Linked DNA regions of Oryzias latipes. The protein of the gene in region 3 interacts with the protein of the main gene of each other region in a pairwise test. Links are inferred from orthologs where the notes say so. Each region holds a gene or a part of one and is shown on either strand. Other genes may lie near its edges. The genes, in order: pick1, cytoplasmic FMR1-interacting protein 2 and fmr1.

What was found.
Region 1: the proteins of fmr1 (region 3) and pick1 interact in a two-hybrid assay, tested with the Homo sapiens proteins (2 studies listed by BioGRID and IntAct). The link is inferred for Oryzias latipes from reciprocal best matches to the Homo sapiens genes FMR1 and PICK1.
Region 2: the proteins of fmr1 (region 3) and cytoplasmic FMR1-interacting protein 2 interact in a two-hybrid assay, tested with the Homo sapiens proteins (2 studies listed by BioGRID and IntAct). The link is inferred for Oryzias latipes from reciprocal best matches to the Homo sapiens genes FMR1 and CYFIP2.

The regions. Positions count from the first base shown.
Region 1 is NC_019866.2:19,587,639-19,591,393, forward strand, and holds the start of pick1 (PRKCA-binding protein), read right to left. Parts: upstream 2,518-3,755; 5' UTR 2,349-2,517; intron 2,110-2,348; exon of another isoform or gene 2,081-2,109; 5' UTR 2,009-2,080; intron 1,872-2,008; 5' UTR 1,843-1,871; coding exon 1,802-1,842; intron 1,611-1,801; coding exon 1,499-1,610; intron 1,286-1,498; coding exon 1,157-1,285; intron 1-1,156. UniProt on the Homo sapiens protein: Probable adapter protein that bind to and organize the subcellular localization of a variety of membrane proteins containing some PDZ recognition sequence.
Region 2 is NC_019868.2:21,201,181-21,204,835, reverse strand, and holds part of cytoplasmic FMR1-interacting protein 2, read right to left. Parts: intron 2,391-3,655; 5' UTR 2,358-2,390; coding exon 2,241-2,357; intron 2,037-2,240; coding exon 1,947-2,036; intron 1,147-1,946; coding exon 1,069-1,146; intron 619-1,068; coding exon 517-618; intron 407-516; coding exon 225-406; intron 113-224; coding exon 16-112; intron 1-15. UniProt on the Homo sapiens protein: Involved in T-cell adhesion and p53/TP53-dependent induction of apoptosis. Does not bind RNA. As component of the WAVE1 complex, required for BDNF-NTRK2 endocytic trafficking and signaling from early endosomes.
Region 3 is NC_019868.2:25,368,108-25,371,862, reverse strand, and holds the start of fmr1 (synaptic functional regulator FMR1), read right to left. Parts: upstream 2,749-3,755; 5' UTR 2,348-2,748; coding exon 2,297-2,347; intron 1-2,296.

The DNA.
Region 1 (3,755 bases), on a different chromosome or scaffold from region 3:
CTGATGACATGCTGTCACATGCTGCTTGCTTTTGTTCTGACCTCTTTAGGTCTGCACGGCTGGACAGCAAACCCGTCTGCTGCTCACGGAGGAGGATTTCTACCAACTGCTGGGCTTGAAAAAGTGAGTTTTCTTCCACTTATTTTTCTAGTTTTCTTCACCTCAAAGTGCAGCTTGGAAATGTAAGATTTTTCTAATATTTGCTTGAATCTCGTAAATTTTTTCCAGATAATTTGATTCATTATATATTTGAACTTTTGGTGTGAACAGAAAATTGTAACTGAAATAGATGCTTATTCAGCATAAATGGTTCTATTGCTAATTTGGGTCTGTTGCTTGACTTATTGAACAAAGGGAACTAATAAACTAGCGAAAGGGTCAGAGTTTAGACTGGTTAACATTTACAGACACTTCAGAATGAGAAGAAATTATTTAGATTATTATCTAAATAATATTGAGTCCATTTACAAATGATTTTTTTATCAGCTCAAAGAAAAACCTTTAGAGTTATACACCTCATTTTCAGAAGTTTATTTTTGTACCAAAAAGCAGATAAAATGGAATTCTTTCAAATCTTTTGCTTTTAATGACAATATAATGATCGTACATTGAGGCATAAGTGGTCAAAGACTGTCCAATAGGATGCTGTTTTTCAAGGTTACATTTAATTTCATATTTGTAACGCATCAACAATGATGCAGGTTAACTGCTTCATTTTATTATCCAGCATCCTTAACAGCAAATGGATCTCAACTCAATTTATTAATTGTATTTTTTGCCAAATATCTAATAAATGTTGTTTTTTTTTTTGTTCTTTAGCACTGGCACTCTGAAAACTATCATTTATGTAGGTTGCTTTCAGATTTCTATTTCTGGAAACTCACAGAAAGAGTCTCCAGAAAAGAAAAATATATATATATATATTACATCCATACATCCATATATACATACAGCTATTACTGGATAGTCAATAATGAGGTCAAATAAGCAAGTAAGTAATGAAATAATTTTAAAATAATAATAAAAGTGGCACTGAGGGTGACCCGTTTTCCAAAGTCATACTTTTAAAGCGTTTTTTCAGAGCTGTCATTTTCTGTGTGACATTTGCTTTCTTGATGCGGATTGTTGAGATTAAAAAACATTAGACCTGACATACCTGGACAGCCTGAATCATCTTGGCCACCTCCACCTTCGTTTTCCCCTTCACCGGTTTCCCGTTGACACCAGTGATTTCATCTCCTGCTGCCAGAGTCCCATCCAGAGCTGCTGGGGTGTTATCAAATACCTGTGAGACGATCGATTAGTGAGTCAAATTGAAGCGCTTCAATTTGACTTACAGATCCACAGTTTCTGTTTAGCATAATCCACTGTTAGCTTTAAAAAAAACAACAAACAAACAAACAGACAGAGTAGCATGAAACATAATTTGTTTCTTTCCAAAGGCACTGAATCAAAATTAAAGCATCATTTTAGAGACAACACAGATATCTCCACTCACCTGGACGATATATAGACAAGGACAGTATTGTGCTCCACCTCCTATACTGATGCCAATAAGATTATTAGCATCTTTCTTCAGAGTCACAGTGCCGGGTACTGTGGGGATTCCACTGGAGAGTAGAAAACAAGTCACTAAGTTGTTCCTGGAAACTCAATGGAAAAATCTGTGCTTCTGTCACAACACAAACATCTTCATCCTCATCCTCAGCTCTTGCTTTGAGAACTTTGTCATGTCAGTCTAGTTGGACTCTTCAGAATTTCTAGGATTTTGAATTTAGAAGAATGAAACATAAAGACTCACAGTTTATCCTCTTCCAAGTCATAGTCCATGTCTGTGAACATTACAGGACAGTCACAGCTGACCCCGAAATCTGACAATAGCATAAAAACTGCTGTTATTGCAGGATTACTTTATGAACACGACTACATCAAAATAATTATCGACAATCTAAAATCAACAAAGTCTGTTGTAGCCTTGTGATTAAAAAACAACAAAAAACAAACGCACAAAAACCGTGTGCTGCTGTTAAATACGGTCAGCAGATCTGTTTCTCGTCAGACTGAGAGAAGAGGAGAGAGGCTACAGGGAGGAGAAAGCGGAAACAGCTGGTAATGATGGATACTAAAAGGAATATTCTTAATTGCATATTACCACGTGTTAGAATGGAATCAAATACTTTAAACAGTAATATTTTGGCATAATATTGTTAATTGTTAATCATCAAAGTCGATGACTAAAAAAAATATTGTTACGTTGTCTCATCATAGCCGCTACGCTAGCTCCTAGCCTCCTGGCAGGTGTAGCAGAAATGCCGTTCATTTTATAAACGAGGTAGATTACTACTTACCTTCAAAAAGTCTCGAGTACCTTTTTCTTATATCTGTGTCACAATAGTTTTTGTAATTCTGCTTTCCCCCCTCCTGGATAAACGTTCTGGGCTTGCACTTTTATTGCGATAAATTGTTTTTTACTGACAGTTCCTGTTTACCTTATTTTGTCACTTCCGGATCAGAACGGAAATAGTTGCATGACGGTGCGCAGAGCGCAGTATGAGTACTACCAATGAGTTATATCACTAGAGGAGACACGCCCGCTTTAGAAGCCTGGCCGATGGTGGCGGAGCGCGACGCCATCTTGGTGAGGTCGACGACGCCCACATGACAATGATTTCTATTGCTTTCAGTGGTGTCTAAGTAGCTTTTATATACTATATATATATTTTAACATTTATATATATATATATATATATATATATATATATAGAGATAGATAGATAGATAGATAGATAGATAGATAGATATAGATAGATAGATCATTTGTTGTTGTTAAAGAAGAACAGGCAGCCTTAAAAGCTCAAACTTGAATGAAAATGCATTGTTGCAGGACTTCTTACGAAGAAAAAAATAATTTCAAAGAGTTTTAAAAATATTTTCTAAACATTTAGAAGTTTTAGACCTCTTTGACATGTAATTTAAATTATTTAGAAAAACCCAACAATAAGTCAATAATAATAATAATAATAATAATAATAATAATAATAATAAAATAAATATTCAAAAGAAGTCCAAAAGTGAACAATAGATTTACCCTAAAAAAGCAACAACTACAACAACAAAGAAAAGCAATAGATTTACACTGATTCATGTGAGTGATTAATTTGGTATAACACAGATGGTATGGTGTCGGGTTTCAAGCAAACAGTCTGGCCTCTTATCAAAATGTGTTTCCACAAATGTTTCTAACATAGCCAGACTGTATTGCTAGTTGGTGACCACAGTGATCCATCTGGGTTAGCCCTTTTTATTGCTAAGATCCACTTTTTCCTTTAGTCTGAATCCATTAGAAACCTGCAAGAAAAGTTCAGTCACTGAGTCAGAAATGTATAAATCTATATTACTATAGTAGCCTAGTATGCTGTATACAGGTTTAGCAAAATAAAATGTCCATTTATGTCAACAGCAAATTATACGAACATCATGCAGTATGTTGATAACAGCCCTACAGCATCATGCATGTCAACATGTGTATGATTAATGAAGCCCCTGCAGCATTAAAAGAAAAAAATTATAGTACTTACCTGTGAAATGATATACCTTCCTCCTTCATGGACTCAGTTCTCTGATTTTGGCAGTTGAAACCCGCAAAATTAACTGGTATTATGCAAAAAATGTGTTCACATGCATGCACTGCAGTAGTACCTTGACCTCACCAAGATGGCGGTGCTCTCCTCCCATAAGGAACCACGTTATGTCTC
Region 2 (3,655 bases), about 4.2 Mb from region 3:
AGGACACAAACAAACCTGAGTGATCCTGTTATGGTTTGCTAAAAACATGGAAAGATTTTGGGACTCCTGGATGGACTGAGGGTCGGCCATCTTCCTCAAGAACTGAGCAGCTCTAAAAGGCAGAAGACAGTGGAAAACTTTTACTTTTCGTTCTAAAAAAAATAACATTTTTATTTTATTTTCAAAGCTACTTTAAAACTGTAAACCAAATGACTGCTGGCTACCGTTTGTAAGCAGAGTGATCGTTCTTCACACTACACTTCATATTCTTGAGCTCATCCAGCACTGCGAACATGTTGATGAATTTTCCCAGGGTGAGCAGATACGCCTCTGACACGAAGTCTTTCCTTCTCTCAGCGTGGCAGAGTCGCTTTACTTCACTGCAGAAGCGTTCTATAGCTTTCCTCTGCGAAAAATGAGAGATAAATAATCTACCATGTTGCAGTGAATTTGACCCTTTTAAATCAGAAATCCGTTGGTTGATTGTTTGCTTCACTTTTCCAATTAATATCTTGCCTGGAAGTACATGAACTTCATAAGCTTGGTCACTTCAGGCTCCAGAACCTCCACTGTTTTCTCATAGATCTCCACTCTGTTGGGCTGCTCGTTGCATTTCACCTAACCAACACAAGATGGCGACAACACACAGTTTAGAACTGCCATTCATGAAGTTTATACACTGATAAAAGCAATAAAAATGAAACTTCATATAAAACAGAACACCGAAATTTAATAATAGATTATGTTTTCACTCTACACCTCTGTTAATTTAAGAGATAGAGATGGAAAAAAAACATGAAACTTTTAAGTTGGTGTCAAAACCAACAGAGCAGAAGCAAAACATGAACAGCTAAGCTTCAGCTGCCATGAGATGTCAGGTTTGACCAGTTAAAACCAACATTTCATGTTCAGCAACTTTAACAGTTTCATACGTTCAACCACATGCTGATCTGAACAAATTCAGACAGCAATCCAAACGGGGTTTTTTGACAGGAATATTCAGTTATGGTACATCAGCAGATTCTACTTCAGTTTGGAAGACACAGACTATGTTGGTGTTGTACTAACCTGAGGAATGGCTCTGGAGCAGCTCCTCCAGGTGTAAAGCATCACAGCATACTCATGTCCTTCTTCCAGCATCTCGTTCTGAATAGAAACAAAAAGCAAAAACGTCCATTTTTAAAAAAATAATCAAGTTTTTTAATGTCACATTGTATGATTAAAAAATGGCTGGTATTTTTATGGAGCCACCCCATCATTTTAAAGACCCACTCAGATCATCTTTTCTTCCTATTTTCAAAGCGTTCCCAGTGGTCTGTTCATTGTAATTATACTAAGCCAAAATAGAAAATCTGTGTTGTTTTCTAGGATATAGTTTCTAATACGATCTTTTTCAAATGGCTTTTTTTTGTGCCCCTGATTGATTTGAATAAAGAACTACTAGAAATTCCATTTTGAGCTTCATTTTCTTTTCTATGTTCTCCATCATCAGTAAAATGCCACAAGAACATGTTTAAAAAACACAATTTCCCTTAGAATGGGTCTTTAAATATATTGCCAGTTTCAAGAGTTGGTGAATATTTTGACAAAAGCAGTTCACTTCCTCTTTTAAAAAGTGGTTCTTCCCAAAATAAAATCTCAATCAAACTTCCTGCTAAAACACACCAAAATAAAGCGTTACTTCCCCTCTGCGTTAGTCCAACCATATTCCAATCCTTCACCTTTAGGGGAAAGAGTTAAGTGTTCCTCTGCCTCATCATCAGTGTGTGGAACAATTGTGTAAAATAGAGTGTCAGTCGTGCTGTAGACGCAGTCAAATTATGACCAGTCTACACAGAATGAGGCCTCACTTTAGTGGCTGAAGCTGCAGCTTACGGCCAGCTTTCTGTTGGCTGAAACGGGAAGTGAAATGACTTCTGGCATGGCAGCAGAAGCTGCAGTCTCACCATGCTGGAGTGGACTGTGGCTTGCTCTATGTAGCGAGCGATGCCCGTCACAAACGCATTCCTGTCTTCAAAGTTGGTGTCAAAGTTGGCCTGCAGAGAAAGAAAGAAAGAAAGAAAGAAAGAAAGAAAGAAAGAAAGAAAGAAAGAAAGAAAGAAAGAAAGAAAGAAAGAAAGAAAGAAAGAAAGGAGTGACATGGGAAAAGCTGAAGGGGATCCTAACAGCTGTGGCAGACAGCAGATGGGCGCGGTGATGGTGGGGGTGGAGGAGGGGGGTCAGTGCGTGCAAGTTGGTACCTGGTACATGATGGAGGAGGGAGGGGGCTCGATGCATGGCTGCTGGTCTGGCAGGGGCAGCTCTTCCAGCAGGTCCACATTGGACAGAGCATCTTCCAGCGTCACGTGCGTCGTCATGGTAATGAAGTGTCACTCAAAAAACAGCCCGGTCTGCAAGGAGCAGAGGGAAAGAGCGAGCATGTAAGATAAAACGTTTAGAGAATCCCTGCAAAACTGATACTTTTGGGTATTATTCATTTTAAAAATATATATTACAATACAAGGAATAAGGTGGTCTACATTATTTTATCGTATTGTTGTGTTCCTGCCATCAAATTTCAGATAATCTTTAAAACAAAATGGACATTTTAGCACCCCTATTTAATAGAAAGCTACAAAACTATGAAGTTACACAATAAAACTTCTCAACTTATAAACTACACAGATTGACTGAAATATTAAGTCGAGAGTAAAGCAGGTATTTTTTAACGCCTTGATGTGTCACTTCTTTATTGTTTCTCCCTTCACCCGAGTGCAGGACACTGAAGTTATTTTTTAAATTATTACCAGGAACAACTAAAGCAGGAGATTCTTAGAAGCCTTAAAGATGATACTGGAAAAAAACCCTACTGAAGTTTTGTATTTTTCTATTTTTGGGTTACCACTGAAATCATTAAGTGTCCACAAGTACTTGCTTAGCTCATCTGTGTGTCTGTAATAAGTGACAGAGAGGCAGGATACGGTCTGTGTCTTTTTTTTTACAAAACCTAACTTTAATAAAACCCCAATCTGTATGCATCCACCCCATGCACTGTGTCCTTCAGAAATGGATGTATTACATCTAAACCGGCAGGCAGAGCAAACCTCCCCATAAGCAGCTTAATATTCAAGTCACAAGTGGAGCTGGTGAGGATCAGAGGGTTGAATCACCAGGAAAAGAGACAAGAAGCTTGCAGTTTAGTCACAAAAAAACAACTTTAACCTCTGTTTTCATCATCTGCATATTAAAAGAGGGGGCTTTACATGACCATTTGTGCAATCCGGCGTGTTCAAAATCCACATCACAAAAAAAAAAATCAAATGAAAATCCCAGATCCAAGTGTGACAGGGAAATGAAATCCAGCACAGTTTCTGCACTTTTGGCACTCAATAGTTGCAGTTTAGGATAAACTCTGTCGAAACGCTGTTTTTTTTTTTTAGGATTTGGTTGTTTTTGGCTGGATGCCGTAATCGTCGCACTGTTTTTACTGCTTAGAACTCTCTCATTCCTTTCAAACTCTTCTGGCTTGGAGGCTCACAAACAGTAAAGCGGGGCTTTTGTGCAGCAGACAAACATGCTCAGTGCTACCAAACAGCGCTAACCTCAAGCTAGTTGAATAACCCCCCCCCCCCTGCAAACTGAGCTCCACAGTTGACAGATCTGTCTATCTCACTGT
Region 3 (3,755 bases):
CAGACGAGCCTCCAAAGTTTCAATAAAGTGAATACTTTTAAAACGTTTTTATGATATAAAAACGTTCCATAAATTTGATCATTTTTAGGATTATTAAACTTTAAAATGTCTGTTAATGAATTTGAAGATCCCGTCGGGTTGAGCAGCTGCCTGCTGATCAGTCAGCTGAGAGTTCAAATCCCAGGTGGGACAGCCACCGTGTGCTCCATACAACACTTTAGACCCTCAGACATAAGATATCTAAGTGTCTGCAATAAAAATAAACACCTTTGACCATCTTTATGGCTCACATACAGTTTATCACCACGGGAAAAAAAAATTCTTTACCACAAAGACAGCTATGATAAACCTTAAGTACCGAAGAAATCTGTACAAGAAAAAGATGATTCCATGTATAAAACATAAATATGTACATATACATTAGATATTTACTTTAACTGAATACATACATTTAATGATTGAGACCAGTCGTTTTTCTAATAACACAGATATTAAACATATTCCAACACATTCTAGAGAAATACTTTTAAATCACCCAGATACCTTTAAATAAAATCTAACAAAAATATAAGCATTTAAGAGGAGCTGAATCAAACTTTTTTTGTGGTTTCCTTTCTGGGGAAGACTTATTAAAAAAAAAACGTAGATTTTTTTTTTGTCACAAGGTCGTGCGAGCCGCTGCATCCAAACTTAACGTTTCTATCACTAAATTGTTGCCGAACTTTCATGAGGCTGAAATCAGAGAGAATGTTGCTCAACCAGAAGGTCGTAACAGTTTGACGGTCCGATGATCACGCCGCTCGTCACTTTAGGGAACACCATTAGGGATGGGCGATCTCAGTGCCAGTATCTGCAGATATTTGCATAATTTGAGTTTCTCAGTATTGGTCTGATATAAAAAATCTACCGATATTCGCTTGACTGTTTTCAGAAACACTTTATTTTTTAAATGTTTGTTACCAATAGATTGGAAAACTTATGTTTGCTGTCATAGTCAGTAATTGACTGTTTTCAGGTAAATGTAATTTTTGATAGGGATACACGTTGTTCCTATTAGATCCCCGACAGTTATGTCCAATATTCAGTAAATGGTCTGAATGCTTACAGATATATTTTTATGACAATTATAAAGTGATACTTGTTCCTCTAGGATCCTTTGCTGTATGTTAAAAAGGTCAAATGCAATGTGATTGTCCAGTCAAAGAAAAGTGGTACATTTCTAATAAAGAAACAAAAAGAAAATCTAAACTTTGTGTTTCTGTGGACACTTAAGTATCGGCAAATATCGGTTGTCTGTATTGGCACATCCCTAAATACCATTGTTGATGTACAGATTACTACACACACATGAGTCTGTTTATATGACCACAACAATGGGAGAACTGGGAGGGGTTTAGGAAGCTGTAACCATTCGTTCTGACGCGTTTAGGGAACCTGATGATCCAAATAGATTTACATGTTTTATCGACTTTAACTTTTTGTGGGTGTTTTTCCACATCTGTTCTCATTTTGTTAAAATCAGCCGTCCGCATGGTTTTTACGGTTTCCCAATCAAAACATTTAGGTCAACAACAACAAAAAAGCCCTACAGAATAGAGAAATTGCCTTGACTACCATTTATTCGCATTTTTCTATTCTGTTTTTACACATTATTGGATGTAAACGAACAAAAATTAATTGAATTGTGTCCAAGCAAGAATAAAATCGGATTTCGGTGAATTTAGGTTTGACTTTCGTGTATTTAATTCTCAAAAACCAAATGACAACTATTATCTGATGGAAGCTAGTCCTTGAATAATCTGATAATTTAAGAAATCAGATTATTGGTTTTCATTACAATGGGATCAATGAAATAGTGGCCACTATTTGAAAACCTGACAATCCCTGCTTATATGAGCAGTTTCTGTTTGTCTAAACAAATCCCACAACACATTAGCATCCGAACGCAACACTTTGGTACTTTTTTTAAATAGAGACGCCCCACAGACACAAACAAAACAACATTTTTGACCAATATAATCCCTGCATCCGAATAAATTGGATAAATATGAGCAAAAGCAGCTCGGCTTCGCAGATCTCAGGGGTCTGCAGCGACATTAATGTCGTTAAGTCAGCTGCTAGATGGGAGTTTGGCGAAGCATCGCTGCGTCAGTTTTGTTTATTACAGGTACATCCACGGAGGCCCGCGCGCACAAACACGCATCTCCGGGCTTGCTCGGTGGGGCCATTCCGTGTTCGCCCTGTTAGTTCACGGTGCCACAGGCGTGACCAGGGTCGGCAGAAGTTAACCGTTTACCTTGTAAAAGGCCCCGCTCGTTCCTCGGACTTCCACGACCAGCTCCTCCATGACGCAAGTTACCACAGCTCGCTAGCTAGCTAACTCCAGTTAGCAATGGGAGCTAGCTGGCTGGCTAGCTAGCCCGACGCTAGCAGAGTTTTGTCGCTGGTTTCTCTTCCAATACGAATTCCGCGGTCAGCTGGGAGCAAGGAGAGGCAAAGGTAGCTGCTGGTGTCGGTTTTGCACCGCGTGGGGAAATTCACGCGTCCTCCTTTCAGACTCGCGGCGGGGAACGTGTGGAAAATCTAACGCAAATAGATGTCCTGGTTAGCTTGTGGTGGCTGGTTTATGTTAATGTGTGATTAGTAGTAAGGCAGCTGCTGCTGGGTGCATCTCTCCATGTGACGTCTGCGTTTTCTTCCTCTACTGTGATCTCGGCCTGCAGACTCTTCCCGCAGCCTTTGCTGCTCTGTGCGGTTCCTAGAAAAGCCGCTTTGGCACAAACTGATAGTTGAGTTTGTGTCACAGTTTTACTAGTTGATCAGTTAAATTCGGAATTCATCAAAAAAAGGAATGAATTGAACTGTGTTTGGCAAAAAAAATGCCCGGTCGTGTGTATTTATGATAAAACATCAATTCAAAGTGACCTAAGGTTTAATCTTGTGATTTATCATAAATAATTTTCCTGCATTAGCAATTTTTTTTCTTTAGGTATGATGGTTAACTTTTGGATGTCCAAAAATCTGGTCCAATCTGGTTTTTTGTTGACTGCTTCTTTAAAAAGCTGAAATCTTTCATTCATTCAGTCATGCAGTCATCTCCTGAACCGGTTTTGGTCCCTTTCTGGGTCACGGGGCAGCCGGCGTTTATCGTAACAAGGCAGGGGACATCCTGGACAGGTCGCCAGTCTGTCGCAGCGCCACAATCACACACCCATGCACACTCATATTCACACCTAGGGACAATTTAGAGTGACCAATTAACCTATAAAGCATGTTTTTGGACAGTGGGAGGAAGCCGGAGTACCCGGAAAAAACCCACTCATGCACGGGGAGAACATGCAAACTCCACACAGAAAGGTCCCCCCATTGGTGATTCTGTTACAGATCCTCCAGCCGGGACTTGAACCTTCTTGGTGTTAGGCCACTGCGCCACCATGCAGCCCTATTTGATTTACGTTGACTTTAAAAAGTAGATATGCTTTCTTTAGTTCTTCCAACACAGATAGAAGTTACTCAGAATTCAGATTAACAACGGAAACTGGGAAAATTATTTTTGCTAAATGACGAAAAACGAAGCAATCTACACAATTTATGTTTGTGCAGTCTAGTTTATTCTAATGTGGACTGGTCCTGCTTGCGACTCTTCACGATAACTGCGATGACCTTCTAAGTGGCGTTTTTACTTTTCAAGCAGCGCAGTTGTCTCCAGCGTCTATTTTCAACAGGTAGGAGTCAGGGGTCAGTTTTTCCACTTT